4 linked regions of the Mus musculus genome follow. The protein of the gene in region 4 interacts with the protein of the main gene of each other region in a pairwise test. Links are inferred from orthologs where the notes say so. Each region holds a gene or a part of one and is shown on either strand. Other genes may lie near its edges.

What was found.
Region 1: the proteins of Pom121 (region 4) and Ap2b1 interact in binary tests that used the Homo sapiens proteins (3 or more experiments, as listed by UniProt). The two-hybrid records come from large-scale screens. The link is inferred for Mus musculus from reciprocal best matches to the Homo sapiens genes POM121 and AP2B1.
Region 2: the proteins of Pom121 (region 4) and Tex11 interact in binary tests that used the Homo sapiens proteins (3 or more experiments, as listed by UniProt). The two-hybrid records come from large-scale screens. The link is inferred for Mus musculus from reciprocal best matches to the Homo sapiens genes POM121 and TEX11.
Region 3: the proteins of Pom121 (region 4) and Trip6 interact in binary tests that used the Homo sapiens proteins (3 or more experiments, as listed by UniProt). The two-hybrid records come from large-scale screens. The link is inferred for Mus musculus from reciprocal best matches to the Homo sapiens genes POM121 and TRIP6.

What each region holds. Positions count from the first base shown.
Region 1 is NC_000077.6:83,301,156-83,305,500, reverse strand, and holds the start of Ap2b1 (AP-2 complex subunit beta), read right to left. Parts: upstream 2,805-4,345; 5' UTR 2,664-2,804; intron 1-2,663. UniProt on the Homo sapiens protein: Component of the adaptor protein complex 2 (AP-2). Adaptor protein complexes function in protein transport via transport vesicles in different membrane traffic pathways.
Region 2 is NC_000086.7:101,056,799-101,060,871, forward strand, and holds the start of Tex11 (testis-expressed protein 11), read right to left. Parts: upstream 2,842-4,073; 5' UTR 2,715-2,841; intron 2,620-2,714; 5' UTR 2,598-2,619; coding exon 2,558-2,597; intron 1-2,557. UniProt on the Homo sapiens protein: Regulator of crossing-over during meiosis. Involved in initiation and/or maintenance of chromosome synapsis and formation of crossovers.
Region 3 is NC_000071.6:137,311,431-137,315,476, forward strand, and holds the start of Trip6 (thyroid receptor-interacting protein 6), read right to left. Parts: upstream 2,812-4,046; 5' UTR 2,639-2,811; coding exon 2,530-2,638; intron 2,279-2,529; coding exon 2,151-2,278; intron 2,047-2,150; coding exon 1,921-2,046; intron 1,660-1,920; coding exon 1,276-1,659; intron 804-1,275; coding exon 710-803; intron 614-709; coding exon 444-613; intron 1-443. Other genes in the region: Slc12a9 (solute carrier family 12 member 9), read right to left, coding at 3,521-4,046. UniProt on the Homo sapiens protein: Relays signals from the cell surface to the nucleus to weaken adherens junction and promote actin cytoskeleton reorganization and cell invasiveness. Involved in lysophosphatidic acid-induced cell adhesion and migration.
Region 4 is NC_000071.6:135,391,698-135,395,861, forward strand, and holds the start of Pom121 (nuclear envelope pore membrane protein POM 121), read right to left. Parts: upstream 2,850-4,164; 5' UTR 2,809-2,849; coding exon 2,240-2,808; intron 829-2,239; coding exon 613-828; intron 84-612; coding exon 1-83. UniProt on the Homo sapiens protein: Essential component of the nuclear pore complex (NPC). The repeat-containing domain may be involved in anchoring components of the pore complex to the pore membrane. When overexpressed in cells induces the formation of cytoplasmic annulate lamellae (AL).

The sequences.
Region 1 (4,345 bases), on a different chromosome or scaffold from region 4:
TAACTGACACCATAGCCAATAATTGTGATGAAATAATCACCATCATACAGGCAAAGAAAAAAGGTATCCAGTCTATCCTTGCTTTAAGGGGGTGGGAGGGACAAGGAAAAATGAAAATAGTCTAAACAAAAGCAACAGTAGAAAGGAAGGATGGGGGCAGGGATGGCCTGGATCGAAACACATTATATACTTGCATGAATTTTAAGTATTTAATTAAAAGGAGAAGAGGTGGTAATGACAGAACTTTAATGTCCCCGTGACTTTCAACTCACAATGACATATAACTATTTTTTAATCCAAGCCCCCCACACTTGCCGGATAGACACTGATGCCTATAGTAGAAGACACACACACATAAGACACACACACACAAGCCACAAGAGAACGGGAAAAACACAATTTCAACTTGCCTAGTGCTTCAAAACTCAATCTTACTGGGGCAAATTTTTGTTTTTCAGGAAATCCCTAGAAATAAACAAGCCACAATGGAATTTGAACGTACACAATCTTATACGACATGAAACCTGAAAGGTCACTGACTGACTTATCGTGTGGCCTGGGGACATTGTTAAAGGACAGAGCAGCCACAGGGCAAGGCAAGGATCCTTGGACTTGTCCTAGTCCACAGCATTGCTCCACTGCCTTTCCCAGGCCTCCCTGTACAAGGTTATATATCTAGATTAACATAACCTAGTTTCTGATAAATATAGGTTGTCGAAGTCCTTTCTCTCCTTCCAGCCTTCCCTTCCTCCAATTCCCCAAAAGAGCAGCTCAGCAGTGAAACAAGATTAATAGGCTGGGTAGAATACAGTCAGAAAAAAAAAATTATAAGGTCTTAATTTCAAATGGTTCTCTGGAAAATGGCAGCCAGCGTTAGCACTAGCAAGACCACTGTGCCCTCCTTTGCACATGAAGTCAATACTAGCCAGAGTTCAGTAAATTCTAAAGCAGAAAGTCATTCCAGTCACCTCTGCTTACAAGGATGAGTGGTATAAAGACCATTGCTGGCCAGATGTTCATAACATAAGGACAGCAGCAGCCTCAGATTAATTTAGCTTGTCAGAAATAAAACGTTAAAAGCTAAATCCACCTCTGGCTTCTATTTAAATAACTACAAGTTAATTTATTAATATAGGATTATACGGAAAGAAAGAAGCCCAACAGTCTTACACCCAACTGTTATGAAATGCCAGGACATTTTGGAAAACTTAAGCCCAGGAGGAAAGAAGAAAAATGGGGATGCTATCCTCCTTCTGAATGCCCCTTGTCTAACATGGTTCAAATGTGTGCCTTGAGACGAAAGCAAAATCTTTTCCAGAAGAAAAGGATGCGAGGGACCTCTCTGATCTTAATTCATCAGGATATTTACTCTGTTTTAATTTACCACACAACTTGACTGAGCTGTTTGCAGCGCACACTCCCCTCTCTTTCTCAGGGAGTCTACCCTGCAAGGCACCTACTCAGTTCTCAGTTTACATGCCCGCCCGCCTCACTTAGTCATCACTGGAATGTGTTACCGATGGCTGCACCTACTTCACCTGCCGCTTTCTATTATTACCTTGTAAGTGCACCCTAAGGCTAAGCAGTGAACTGCACAGGAGAGCAGTTAATAATTTAAATTGTTCCTCTCTAAGAGACCACCTTCCTTCTTAGTCACTAGCCTTACTGAGCTTACAGTGTGTTCTTTGTCTTTTAAACCACAAAGGTTGCAAAAAAAAAAAAAAAGTTTGGCCACTAAAATAAAAGAAAAAAAAATCTCCCTTCTAAAAGTAAAAAAATTCAGCGAAGCATCCATGACACATTCACACTGCTTCATAACTAAATTGCTTGAGTTTAATAAGAGCCTTCTCCTAAAAAGAGGGCTGCTCAAAAAGCTAATACATCCTGTGAATTCAAAGAATAAAGAAATAGCAGGAAATTCCAGGGTTTTGTTTTGTTTTTTTTTTTTCACTTCTAGTAGAATTTACAGCCTTGCCCAAACTAGACTGCTCCTGATAACCCCAGGGAATATAGGGAGGGGGGAAAAAAAAAAGAAAAACAAAATTCCATGCTAAGATTTATTTTCCCCTCTTACACAGAGGGTGGGGGTGGCCTCAATTATGCAGGTTTCTCCTTCCTTCCTCGAAGTACAGTTAGTCCCCATTCTCTTTATCCACTTCCCCAGGTCAAGAAATCTGTCCAATTTTCACTAGGTAAGGAGAGATGCCTCTTAACCCCAAATACGTGCGACAAGAGAGGTTTCAGTGACCAAACGGTCGCGGGAATCCCTTCTCCCTAGTCGTGGAGACACGTCGGAGCTTCTTTCTCAATGAACAGATGTCAAACGGGAGAGCTGGGTGGTTCTCCCTCGGCCTCCAGCGGCCACACCCCTGGCCTGAGCCTTCCCCAAGCCGGTCTTCGGAACCTTGCTTCGCTCCGAAGCCCCCAACTCCCGCTGCTACACCGGAGCGCAGCCCCAGGCCACCACGGTCACTACGATGGAGGCACTTTCTCCCAGCTTTTCCCTCACAACGGTCACACCCGAGGACTCCTTCCACCCTCAACCGTCACGCTCCTCGGCTCTCCTTTCCTCCTGAGCCTATGACCCGGCTTGGGGCTCCCCTCCCTCACAAGCACCGCGAGTCAGTCAGGGCACACCCCAAAGCCAGCCGCCTTGAACTCACCGGAGGCAAGGGCGGGGTGGCGGCGGCGGCGGCGGCAGTCGGAGAGCACAGCCGGGGTGGTGGTGTAATGGTTTCCTGCCCGTCACGATTCTCTCTAGATCTAAGCCACTGCGCAAAACCCAATTTGCCAGGGACAAAGATGGTGAGCCGGAAGCTTTGGCGTAAGAGAATCTCGCCGCCTGACGTCATCTGGGTGCGCGGGAGAACCAAACGGCCAGGTCGTGTCTGTCGCCTCAGCAACGGAAAGGTTTCCCTGTCTCAGGGATAGGGCAGTTGCCTATACACTCAGGAGACCCGCAGTTGCTTTCCCACCGGATATCTTCAATAAGTGGGTATTTTCGGGATTTATTCCCGTGAACAAGATTTTTGTGAAACCTGTGTGAGATATCCTATTTGCTCAAACACAAACCTCAGCTAATTTGCTTGTAAGGTTAAGAAGCCCATAGAGGTGATAGAAACCAGGACTACAGACGGACGGATGAACTAGGAGACGGCGACTCAAAGATGGCTAAGAAGCATTCAGATCTGAGTTTGAATCCCTACATTGAACAAGACTGGAGAAACTTATTAGCGCCCCCTTCCTGCCCCGCCCTTAGGCTTGAGTGGTATAAGGTACCTAAAACAGGTTGTGGATACAGGTTTCATTAGGAAACTATAAACTGGTACAGGCGTTTAGTTACCATGTCCAGCTTCAAAAGAAAAGAAAGACCAACGTCGGGCTGTGTAACTCAGACAAGCCTAAAACTAAGCCCTCTTGCTTCTTTCTGCCTCTAGAGCACTTTGAACTTCTCTATCTATATACCTAGACTCCAAGGCTTAGTGGTGCTTCTAACCAGGCACCCCTCACTCTACTATTGAACAATCTTTTTTTTTTCATTTTGTTTTTTAATGTGCATTGGTGTTTTGCCTGCATGTATGTATGTGAGAGAGTGTTCCCCTGGAACTGGAATTTCAGACAGCTGTGAGCTGCTATGCGGGAGCTGGTAACAAAATCCAGGTCCTTTGAAAGAGCAGCTAGTGATCTTAACCACTGAACCATCTCTCCAGCCGCCAGATTTGAAACTTAAAAAACTCATGGTAGGACTGGAGAGATGACTCAGTGTTTAAGAGCACTGGCTGCTCTTCCAGAGGTCTTGAGTTCAATTCCCAGGCAATCCCATGATGGGTCACAACCATCTGTAATGGGATCTGATGCCCTCTTCTGGTGTCTGAAGGCAGCTACAGTGTACTTGTGTACATTAAAAAAAAAAAATAAATCTTTATATATTAAAAACAAAAAACTCAAGGCAACTGGGTGTGGTGGCACAAGCCTTTAACCTCAGCAATCAAGAGGCAGAGGTAAGTTGATCTTTGTGAGTTCAAGGCCAGCCTGGTCTACAATGTGAATTCCTGGACAGCCCGGGCTACACAGAAAACTGTCTTTGAAAAACAAAACAGATGACTTAACCCAATTACATTTATTTACTGAGCATCTATTAAATAATTTCCTATGTAACTTACATTTAATATATACTTAAGATCTCCAAACCTGATGGTCAGGCTTAGCCTTTAATGCCTTCTAATAGAAAGGTTAATCATGTGCCTTCTATTAGACTACACATTTGAGACTGGGGTTTTTAATGCATTATTTGGTAACTAAAAACTGGCACATTACCAAATTGAAATAAAAACTGACACTATTT
Region 2 (4,073 bases), on a different chromosome or scaffold from region 4:
GCAGGCACCAGGCACACAGATAATGCACAGATGGACATGCAATCAAAATACCCTTACATATAAAATAAAAATAAGTGAATCTTTTTAAAATTAATTTCATCTATTTATTTATACTGTTTAATGTGTCTACTAGAATATTTTAAATTAGGCAGTGGTGGCACACGCCTTTAATCCCAGCACTTGAGAGGCAGAAGCAAGCGGATTTCTGAGTTCGAGGCCAGCCTGGTCTACAGAGTGAGTTCCAGGACAGCCAGGGCTACACAGAGAAACCCTGTCTCGAAAAACCATTAAAAAAAAGAATATTTTAAATTAAATATGTAGCTCATTAATTTCTACTAGGCAGGGGCTGGTATTGCATACAACTATATTCAAGGTTTTTTAAATACATTTTTGGCAGTTTCATTTTATATCCTAAGGGGGCCTCAAATTCACTATGTAGTTCAGGATACCCTTAAACTCACAATCCTCCTGTGTTAGCGTCTGGGAGTGATGAGATTACAGGTATACACCACCACACCCAGCTCGATTTTCAAAAGACTTTATAGAATGAGCAATCATAAATACATCAGTAAAAGAAAATATAAACTTGGATATTATAATAATAAATCACAAGGGCATCTATATAACAACAAACTAAAGAAGCTAAAAGTCCAAACAAAGGAAAATAAGAATTTGTCTCCAAACCTACCATATGAAAAGGTATATGTGAAGCTTACTCAAGGCATGGTCTCATTATACTGCCTAGGATGGCCTCAAACTAGCCTCCTATCTTTCAGGAATTGCTTGTGTGTGTGTGTGTGTGTGTGTGTGTGTGTGTGTGTGTGTGTGTCTGTGTGTATGTTTGTGTGTTTCCGCACACGTGTGCACTTATAAGTGCATATGTGTAACATGTCACCAGTATAGAGGTCAGAAGACAATCTTCCAGAATTTCTTCTCTCCTTGCACCATGTGGATCCCAGGGATCAACTCGGGACACCAGGCTTGGTGGCCAGCATCTTTACTGGCTAAGCCATCTCACCTGCCCTTACAGTTAGTTTTTCTAACAGTAAATAAATTTTAAATTTCTTAAAGATAAACTTCTTTATAGCCCTGAGGTTGAATGGCTTGTGGATGGCAGCATTTTTTTTTCTGAAAAAAATCATTTTACAAGCAGAACATACAATACTTCGTTGCCTTGATACTATAGAAGCAAATATGCTCGTTCCTCAAACCCCTGCCTTAGAGGCAAGCTAACTGCCCTTATTCAGGCCTTACAATTAGGACAAGATAAGATCTTAACAGCCGCATCATCTCCAAGAATAAGTTTATATTGTTAGCTGCCCATCTGCTTGCAACAACTTCCTGAATGTCCTTTTTTTTTTTTTTTTTTTTTTTTGGTTTTTCGAGACAGGGTTTCTCTGTGTAGCCCTGGCTGTACTGGAACTCACTCTGTAGATCAGGCTGGCCTCGAACTCAGAAATCCACCTGCCTCTGCCTCCCAAGTGCTGGGATTACAGGGATGCGCCACCACTGCCCAGCTTAAATATACTTTTTACACAGTATTTTTTCAGGTTAAACAGTATGATTCCGCATCTCCTAAAATTCCTGGGGAAAAGCTATAGATTATGACCAGAAAATAAGCTATGGATTGTCAATTTTGTTTCCTTACACTAGTTCATAAAAGGTTCCAAATATTATTTCTGGTACATACATGAGGAAAACTGGTGCACTGAGTACTGTGAAAAGACAAACTTATGAGACAAACTGCACTGCTGGGCCTCCACTCCAGGGATTTACATGTGGAAGGCAAACACTGCCACAGAGCTCTCTCCGAGCTTGTTTTCATTTTGTTTGGTTTTGTTTTGGGAAACAATATTTGAGGTGTTGCTCCAGCCTTAGTCTTACAAATGCTGGGATTATAGGCCAGGTGTGGTGTTTGACACCTGCACTCTGGAAGCTTAGGTAGGAAGATTGCAAGTTTGAGGATAGCCTGGGCTACATAAAGTTCTAGGTCAGCCTGAGACACAGAGTAAAAACTCTGTCTCAAGAAGCCAAAGAGGAAGCCAGGCGGTGGTGGCAGAGGCAGGCGGATTTCTGAGTTCGAGGCCAGCCTGGTCTACAGAGTGAGTTCCAGGACAGCCAGGGCTACACAGAGAAACCCTGTCTTGAAAAAAAAAAAAAAGCCAAAAAGGGGCTCTTCCAGTCTCTTTGGCCTCGGAGGTAGAAGCAACATGACAAAAGGAACGGCATCCTTTGGAAAGCATCCCAAAAACAGGCACACATTGTACCGCCGGTCTCCGTGGCTCTAAGGACGACCACTATCAGAAATCTATCTGTGGCAAACGTGGCTACCCTGCCAAGCGCAAGCAAAAGTCTAACTGCAGTGCCAAGGCTAAGAGACGAAGTACTGCAGAGACTGGGCGGATGAGACACCTTAAAATTGTCTATGGGAGATTCAGACATGGATTTCATAAAGGAACAACACCGAAACCCAAAAGGGCAGCCGTTGCAGCAACCAGTTCATCTCGAGGATTTCAATCAGTCATAAAATAAATGTTATCATACAAAGCTTGCTTACCTCTGAAGTCCAAGAAGTAAAAGTCAGTAATGCGGTCCATTTTTTAAATGTCTGGCTCCAGCCTATGGAACACGAATATATTTTAATATTCTGTCCTCAAGTCTCTAATTTCTCAAAAAGACACTTCTGCCAGAAAACTATACCCATTACTTATTACCTGAAGGTGCAGGGACGTTGAGGAAGCTGCAAATCCAGGAGAAAGTTGTTAAACAGGGAGGCGTCTGCTCTCCCACACCCGAAACGCTTGCTGGCGTCTCGCGTCTCCGACTCCGTCTCCGTCTCTCCGTCTCTGGTGGCCCGAAGCCGAGGCCGGAAGGAGAGATTCACGCTTTACCAGAGAGTCACGCTCTGTGATTGGTCTGTCTGTCACTCAGTGCCCCGCCCTCGTCGTGCAGACAGAATGAGTCACGCTCTGTGATTGGTCTGATTCAATGTTCAAAAACTCTCGTGCGCATCCCATCGGCCCCTCGTTCTTGGATGCGGTTTTTTTGGCGCCTTCTTTCCCGCTCTTGCACGCCTTTCCGCTAACAGTCACTGAATTGGCGCTGAGCTTCCCGCCGTCCATAACCCACCACCACCCCCCATCATTTAAATGACCAACTTCCGCTGCCCACAAACTTCTCGTTCCAAAGATATTGCCTCAAAGCATCTCTAAGAAGTGGCGCAGCACTTGGGAGGCAGAGGCAGGTGGATTTCTGAGTTCGAGGCCAGCCTGGTGTGAGTTCCAGGACAGCCAGGGCTATACAGAGAAACCCTGTCTCGAAAAACCAGAAAGAAAAAAAAAAGTATGTTCAAATGTCTGTTTCTTCTTGCTAGTTCTAAAACCTGGGCTGCAGATGTGGGGTCCCGAGTTCGATAACACACACACTTGAAGCTCTGATGTCATAACACACACACATACACACTCATACATATACAAGATGAACGAAACCACCTGACAAGACCGGAGCACTTGCTATCCATTAAAAAGCTCCCCGTCTCTGCTTCTCGTCAAAAGCCACTCCCGTTTGGCCTTTACGGTATATTGATCCTCCGCCTTGGAATCCTGTCTAGATTCTCTATATTGGATAAAACCAGAACAAGACTATCAGGACAAGGTCTATGATGTAAGACCAAAAGTGCACTGCCCTTAAAGGAAAGGACAGATGGCCAGGATTACAGAAAGAAAAGAATAAGAATTCACACACATGCACACTACAAAGATGGCGGAGGAATAGTAGACAGCGCTGCTCAGTGTTTCAAACTGGCAAGGTATCCCAACACAGTAGCACAGGCTTGTAAAGTCTCAGCAGTCAGAGGCTAAAGCAAGAGAATCCCTTGAGCCCGGGCATTCTGGATCAGCTCAGAAGCGTAGCAAAACCCCAGCAAAGAAATAAGTAAGTCGTGTCAAAATTCAGAAAAATAAGAAATTGTGCACTCTGAGCCAGGCGTGGTGGCGCACGCCGCACACCTTTAATTCCAGCACTTGGGAGGCAGAGGCAGGCAGATTTCTGAGTCCGAGGCCAGCCTGGTCTAC
Region 3 (4,046 bases), about 1.9 Mb from region 4:
ACGAAGCCCTGGGTTCCATTCCTAGCACCACAAAGAACAGGTCTGGTGGCCCACACCCAGAATCCCCGTATCTCATGGATAGAAGGAGGAAATTCAAGGTCTTCCTTAGCTACACATAAGAGTCTCAGGCCAGCCTGGGACATGAGACGTATTATCTCAAAACAGCAAACAAGTAATCAAAGAAACAAAACCCAAGATGTTCCTTTGGGTGATGGACCAATTGATCTTGGGAAACCTGCGCCTTGGGCTGCCTTCAGACTTGCTCTGCAGCTCAGGCTCTCCTCCAGATAGGCCCAACTCACCACATTTAGCTTCTTCCTTCTTATACCTCACCCGACTTCCAGTCCCACCCGACTGAGTATCTGGCCCTCTCTTAGACAGGAACCTGCCTGTCTGACTTGATGCTTCATTTAGCATCCCTCTGTCACAGCCCAGCCGCTCACCACATAGCAGCTCTCACAATATGCCCGCCTCTCCACAGCATAGAAGTGCTGGCCCCGGAGCTGGGCCCGACAGGTAGAACACACAAAGCAACCAATATGGAAGACACGGTCCAGGGCCACAACCCCAGCTCCATCGCCCACCACATCTTCGCCACAGCCACCACACCGACCTGAGGACAGAGAGGAACGAGATCAGCCTCCACAGACCCACAACAGCAGATCCTCTGTCTCCTCCCTGTCTCCACCCTATCCAGCAGTCAGCTCACCAAAGTACTCCCCACTGGGAGGGTGGCTCATGTCATGCACCAGTTTCTTGGTCAGTCTCTCCAGTTCCTCTTCAGGAGGTTGGCCTAAGGGGCCCTAGAGTGAGAATTGGGGCTTTGAGGCGCTGCCTATAGTCTCAGACACCATAAATAACTCATACAGTCAGGAACCCCAAAATCTCAGAGGACATCTCTCAGAAGCTGATAGGGGGAAAGGAAGCCCCTTCCCTTTGGACATCTTGATCCTTGACCTCTGAGTACCTTAAAACTGGGATTGACTTATGCACTTATTTATATTTGAGACAGTGTCTCATATAGCCTAGGCTGGCCTGGAACCCATTATGTGCGTCAAATATGACCTTAATTTACTGATTCTCCTGCCTCTACCTCCCCCGCACTTGGTTTATACAGTGCTGGGTCTAGAACCTTGGGATTCCTGCATACTAAGCAAGCACTCTACCAACATCTCCTAAAAACAGTATCTTAAGTACTCCTCGGCCTCCACGCCACCTAATCAATGCCCAGTTACTTCCGGTGACCACAAACCACAGTGCCCAGCCCCAGCTTACCTGAGGCTCATGCCCACCTCCTCTCCCTCCTCCTGCAGGGATATGTACTCCAGAAGGTCCCTCCGGAACCCCCGGTCCTGGCTCTCGGTGGCTCCTATAGCCAGCCCCCCAGACTTCACCACGACCTGTCAGAGGAAAGTGGGGGCCTGGAAGAGGCCCAGAGGCCTGAGAGGCCCCTCGCCTGGGCAGTCCACAGCCTCTCACAGGTTGAGCCACCTTCACTTGTACAGGGAAAGCAGGGCCAGCTGGCGTGCTCGCGGTAGCATAGGAGGCTGGGGTAGGTCCACCATAGTGGGATGCTGGGAGCATCGGGGTTGGAACAGCACCTCCACTGGGCTTCAGGGAGCCTCCGCGGTAAGCATGGGGTGGGGGAGCCTCAAAAGCCTGGGAAGACAAGCAATGCAGAAACAGTAAAGCCAGACCCAAGATCCATGCGTGCCAGGTGGGAACCCCAGGGTAGCAATGACTTCTGACAAGTTCCCATGGCCTAGGCCTGCCAAGGAGGAAGTGCGTGATTCCTTGAACCAGGTGTTTATTAGTTGCAAAGAGGGTAGGTGGGCAGTGAAGAGGGTGGACTGAGGCTGAGAAGCTAGGGCAGGGAACTGGCTGAGGATGGGGAAGCAGAGACAGAACACAGGAAGTCACCTGTCTGTCTGGCCGCCTAGGTGCATGACTGCGACCCCCGTCCAGATCAGCCAACATGCTGGTGAGCGAATCTATCTCAGCATCCAGACTGCCAGGGCGGATGATCCCCCTGTCTGGAGGGAGCCCCTGAGACAGAGGGAAAGGAGGAAGAACAAATGCTGATGACACCCCCGACCTAGACTTCTTTCACCTTGACCCTGAGAGACCCTACCCTCATCTCCACTTCTCACCTGCAGGCGCTGGGGTGTTCCATGGGATCCCACCCAAGTAGGCCCCCGATCTTCCGGTACCCCCGGAGGCTGATAACAGTGTTCAGGCGGGAGGGGGCAAAAGTTGACCCTGGGGTGAGGCTGGAGTGCTAAAGGGAGAGACAGGAGGTGGGACTGGAGAAGGGTACCTCGGTAGAGCTGCCCTTCTAAGGGTGGCTCTCCTTCTTCACATTCCCGGGAGTCTGGGAATCAACCAAGAGTCAGGGAAAGTTGCACAAGAGCTGGGGCCTCTGGTTTGGGAAAGGGACAGCAGGAAGCAGGCAGGCAAGGGAGAAAAGGTGAAGGAAGGTGGCCAGCGGCTCTTCTGCTACTCCGGCGTGTGTGAGAGAGGAACACTTACTTGCTCCGTGGGCCGTTGGCGGGCCCAGGGCGCCTCTGGGCAGCGATCTCCCCTGAGGGAGTCTGGAGGGTTCTGGCTGCTTCGGGGGAAGCCAGGTGGGCCCGGACATGGTCTGGAATAGGGTTACTCCACTCCAGACAGAGGTCAGGGTCCCCACAAGCTCAGAGCCTGGAGCTCGGAGCCTTGGGCCCTTTCCCTCCCTTACTGTCCCACGCCCCGTTTGGGACTCCCGCAAAGAAACTTTTTCTGGCTTTTTTTCCTCCCTTCCTCCCCAATTTTGGAGACGACCACGCCCCCTGACGTCACCACATTCCAGGGGAGGGTCACGTGGCCCCAAGCCTTATTCTACAATCCTTCCCCTCTCTGGCCCCCTCCTGTTAAGAGAAGACCGCCCTCCTCCGGAGCCAAGCTGCAGGGTGGGCTGCAGGCCGCTCTGAGAGGCTCTGGCCCAGCAATTCTCTCGGATCCCTGCCCCAGTCTTGCACGTGGCAGCCTCTCGGCCCAGGCTCTGAACGCATCTGTCTCCACCCCCTCACGGTTCTCTCCCTTCCCACCCGGCTGCCTCTCACCTACCCACCAGCAGTGCTCCACCAGCCCATAGTGTTTCGGTCTTTTATTTATGGTCAGTAGTTAGAAAAATAAAACAAAACACAAACATCACCACCCAAGGAAGTCGGGGAGAGGGAGGCGGTGCGTCTGTGGCCAGGATGGGGACACTGAGGTAGCCTAGAGTCACAGAAGAGGCCAGCCCCTCTGGTCAAGGCACCAGTGAAGGAAGCGGAGGAAGACCAGGGACAGGGCCGCAATGTCCTCCCCTACAATGGGGCAGCCACCTAGAATTAGTGTACTATGTCCGTTCCCCCGCCCAAAGGAGACCATGGTCCCCTTAACACATCATCCAAAGGGCAGGGCCCACTTGGGGCGGGGGGAGGGGCGTCCATTGCTCAGAATGAGCCTGGGCCCGCTCTATCCAACCCTGTATGAACAGGCATCAGAGATCAGTGCAGGTTACCGGAGTGACCCCGTGAATAAGAAGGGTGGGACCCAGATCACGGCTCAGGGTCTCCAGCAGTGCCAGGTATCTGGGGTAGCGAGCAGGATCAGCAGGCGGTCGAGGCAGGTACAGGAAGGTAAGGGCTGTGGTGGGTCCCTCCTCCCCATCCCTTCCTTCGGGTCCCCCAGGGCCTCCTACGGTGCCTCGCCCCTGCTGTGCTCGCACCAGGGCATTGGCACTGCAAGCTAGAGCCTCAGCCTCTTCGTCTCCTCGACCACCATTCACAAAGTCCCCTTCCTCCTCCTCAGGCTCGCCAGTCTCTGCCCCTTCACCCCACACCACCTCTTGCACCTCTGCCCGGATCCTGAGTTGACTCAACAGGGCCCGAAGCCTTCCCTCTGCTGCCCCAGGAGCCTCCCTGGGCCCCAAGCACAGGAAGATCCGGAGCCGGGCACTGTGCCAGGCAGGCACCATGCTTAAGATGGTAGCCATCTGCAACAGAAAAAGGCCACAGACGTCCACG
Region 4 (4,164 bases):
CGTTCAGGACAGTCTCCTTTGCACAAGGATCTGGGGCATTACTTGATGGTGAAGACAGTGTTGTATCGAGTATCTGCTCTGACCTATAATGAAAGACAAGATTCTGGAGACAGGATATTTTAACTCCCATGCACATACAGAACAGAACGGAAACTAGAAGCTAAGCAAGACCTTGGCTCATCTATGTGTAGAAACTACCATGACTACAGGTCAGGCATGGTGGCGTGAGCCTTTAATCCCAACAGTGAGAAGCAGGAGGATCATCCTGAGTTTCCAGACAGCTTGAGCTACTCAGGCAATTTTAGGCCAGCCTGGTCTATGAATGTGTGCATGCCTGCACGCTTGCACACTGGAGAAATGGCTCTGGCATCCTGCATACCCCTAGAGACACAGCTCCAAGGGAAAAAGGCCAGCTGGGGCTTCAACAGCTAGACCCAAACATGATCCCCAGGGTCAGCGAGACTCTGGCCTGAAAGGAAAAAAAGCGAGAGCAATAGAGTCCTGAGGCCTTCTTCTGGTGGTGTCCACACAGGTACAGAAGGTTACTTGCACACACAAGTTTGTATACACAAACACACACACACACACACACACACACACACAGGTACTCACATTGATGAGCGGAATAGCTTGCTGTCTGGAGGGGCAATCCTCACTGTCACTGGGCTGCACACCATCCTGGAGTTCCGTGGAGACAGCACAGCCTTCTTATGGCCACCATTCCAGCAGACGGTTGGAAGTGCCCCAAGCAAGGAATACTGGGCTTGCTGAATGGGATATCGTCTTCGGGGTGTTATAACAAACCGACTGGACAAAGGCCCACAATCTCTGTGGAGAACAGGAGACAGACACTTGATGGAACCACAGTTTTTGTTTTTGTTTTTTTTTAATTTATTTTATTTATATGAGTACACTGTAGCTGTCTTCAGACACACCAGAAGAGGGCATCGGATCCCATTACAGATGGTTATGAGCCACCAAGTGGTTGCTGGGAATTGAACTCAGGACCTCTGGAAGAGCAAGCAGCCAGTGCTAGTAACCACTGTGTCATCTCTCCAGTCTGGAACCACAGTCTTAAAAGAACACCAAATTCAACTGACTGCAGAAACAAGAGGCATTAACACTTCTTTCAACCTCTTATTTTTCTGTTAGACAGTGCTGGTAGCAGAAACTAGGGGTGTGTGCATGCTGGACAAAGCACTCTATGACACTAACAGCTCAGACTTTAAATTTCTCTAAGCAGCAGAGAACGTAGCATTTTTTGGCACATTTCTCCCATTTCATCCAAAGGCAGAAAATATCAGTTGCTTAATGGCTGTCTCTACCACAGACTTCATCAAATTAAGAGGGAAACTGGAAACCTTGCCCACATGGGTACTTCAGAAGAAAAGCACATGCAGTTGGGATGTGTAGGAATAGTTTTTTTTTTTTTCCTTTCCCCCAACTAACCACCAATACACAGCAAAAACCAAACATTAACAGGTATTCACCACCTCAACTAAGCAGACTTATCAAGGCCAGTGAAACGTCTTGTGAAGGAGCTTGCTGCCAAGCTGGAGACCCAAGATCAACCTCAAATTCACGTGGAAAGAGAAAAAGGACTCCAGCAAGCTATCCTCTCATCTCCCTGTGAATATGCAATTTAAAAAGAAAAAAATGCTTTTATCCAGAATCCGGGTTGAGTGTAGTGGAGCACACCGGTAATCCCAGCATTTAGTAGGTGAAGGCAGGAGGGTCAGCAATCCAAAGTCACCCTCATGAGTTCAAGGGACAGCTCAGATACATGAGATCCTGTCTCCGGGGGGGGGGGGGGGGGGAACAAAAACCCAAAGGCTGGGGAATAGGTAGAGGGCAAGCTTGCCTGCTATGACTGAAGCTGTGGGTTCTATCCCAGCACAGCATACAACCTGGTGCAAACCTGTAATCCTATCAGTGAACTCGCTCAGAAGACGAGGCAGGAGGATGAGTTCAAGGACAGGCTCAGCCAAAGAACGGGGTTGAGATTAGACAGCCTATGCCATCAAATACCCTCTCTTAAAAAAAAAAAAAAAGAAAAAGAAAAAAAATAAAGAGAAAAGAGAGTAATGGGAAAAGGGAGGGAAGGGCGTAGAGATAAAAAGAAAGGGAAAAGGCAAAGAAAAGAAAAAGGGGAGGTGAGTTAAATCCGATTTACAGGTTGAGCCCTACGTCAAATCCGCGGCCGCAGAGACCCCACCCTGGGAAGATCGCCGGGGCTTACCGGTGGGGCGGCCTCCGGGAGGGTCGCAAAAGCGGGGTGGGGAGCGCGGGGTAGACGTGGTGGACTCGCTGGACCGCCGAGGCCGGAGGCGGGGAGCGTGCGGGTGGGCGGCGCCCCGGCCTCTCCCTTGGGTCCTGCCGGAGGGCAGGCTCGGGCGGGCCGGGCTTGCCCAGGTAGCTGCCCATGAGTAAGAGCTCAGCCGGGTCGGGGCCTCCCAGCGGGCTGCGGGGTTCGCAGAGGCTACCGTTGACTGGTGACTTGGCCGGAGGCGGTGAAGCGGTGAGAGCTGGCCGCGGGTGACGGCGCGCGTCGCGCACGAAGGACGACAGGGCCCTCGGGCCGCGGGGTTCTCGGCTCAGGCCCCACCAGGCCGCGCTCGCCCCCACGGCCAGCCAGGCCAGCGCGGCCGCCGCGGGCACCAGGTAGAGCGCGAGGCCGAGCAGCGCTAGGCCGAGGGCCGCAGCACCCGCCGGTCCTCCGTAGCCGCGGGCCCGGCTCCGGCCTTCCCGTCCGCCCAACGGGGGCCGCCGCCGCTCGCCTCCGTCAGCCGCCGCAGCCGCCGGAGACATCGCGGCTCCGCGCCGCGGAGCGGACTTAAATATCCCAGGGTACACCGCGCCGCGCGCCGCCGCCGACGTCACTGTCGTCGACGCGGCGCGCCGGGTGGAAAGGGGAAACCGCCGCCGCGTGCGGAGCACGGCGCGAGAGCCCTAGTTTGAAAAATTACAGCTTAGGTAGGCGGATCGGTGCACGCCTTGCCTCTCAGAACGCGGGAGGCGGAGGCAAGAGGAGTTCCGTGAGTTTGAGTCCAGCCTGGTTCACAAAGACAGTTCCAGCGCGACATGGAGACATAAAGCCTGTCTCAAAACAGCAAAACTTAAAAAAAAAAAAAAAGAAAGAAAGAAAAGAAGAAAAGTACAGCCCGGTTTTTGACGCTGGAGGTTTCCCTGACGCTCCTGGACTGCAGAGGAGTGATGTTAGAAATCAAGGCACAGAACGGAGATGGGTGGCACGCGCCTGTAATCCCGGCATTTGGGAGGTGAAGGCAGGAGGATCCCGAGTTCTAAGTCAACCTGGGCTACTTAGTGAGACCCTCCCCGTCTAAAACAAAATAAAACCCGATCAGTCAGACCCTGTATTGGAAAAGGCCAATCAGGCCCTGTGTGGAGGCTCACTGTTTATCGCAGCGAGGTCAGTTCCAGGCCTGCTGGAGCAACACAGTGAGACCCTGTCTCAAAATAATTTTTTAAAATGTGTGTTTTGCTTGAATGTATGCTGGGATTACATTCACACCATCACATCTTACACTTGCGTGGAGGTTGAGGGTCAACGGCAAGTGTCTTTCAATCTCCTTTTTTTCTTTTCTTTGTTGTTGTTTCTCGAGACAGGGTTTCTCTGTATAGACCTGGCTGTCCTGGAACTCACTCTGTAGACCAGGCTGGCCTGGAACTCAGAAATCCACCTGCCTCTGCCTCCCAAGTGCTGGGATTAAAGGCGTGCACCACCACCGCCCAGCAAGTCTTTCTCAATTACACTGCACATTATTCTTTGACACAGGGTCTCTCACTAAACCCAGAGCTCACCAACCTGGCTAGGCTGGCTGGCCAAAAAGACCCAAAATCTTTTTGTGCCTACCTCAGTGCTTGGGATTACAGGGGCTCCTACTGTGCTCAAGCAAGCTTGCTCAGCAAGCCCTGTACCAATGGAACCATCTTCCCAGTCCATATTTCCCCCCTTTCCATCCTTCCCTCCGTTCCTCCTTTTGTTTGTTTCTTCTTTTTTTGAGGATGATAGACTGAGAGCTATTCCTCCACAATCAAGAGTAAGATAAGACTAGACTTGGGGAGGGAAGGCTAGATGGATGAGGGAGAAGCGGGGAGAGGCAGGGATTAGAGTTTAGAGACGATGCATATTGTTAATAAAAC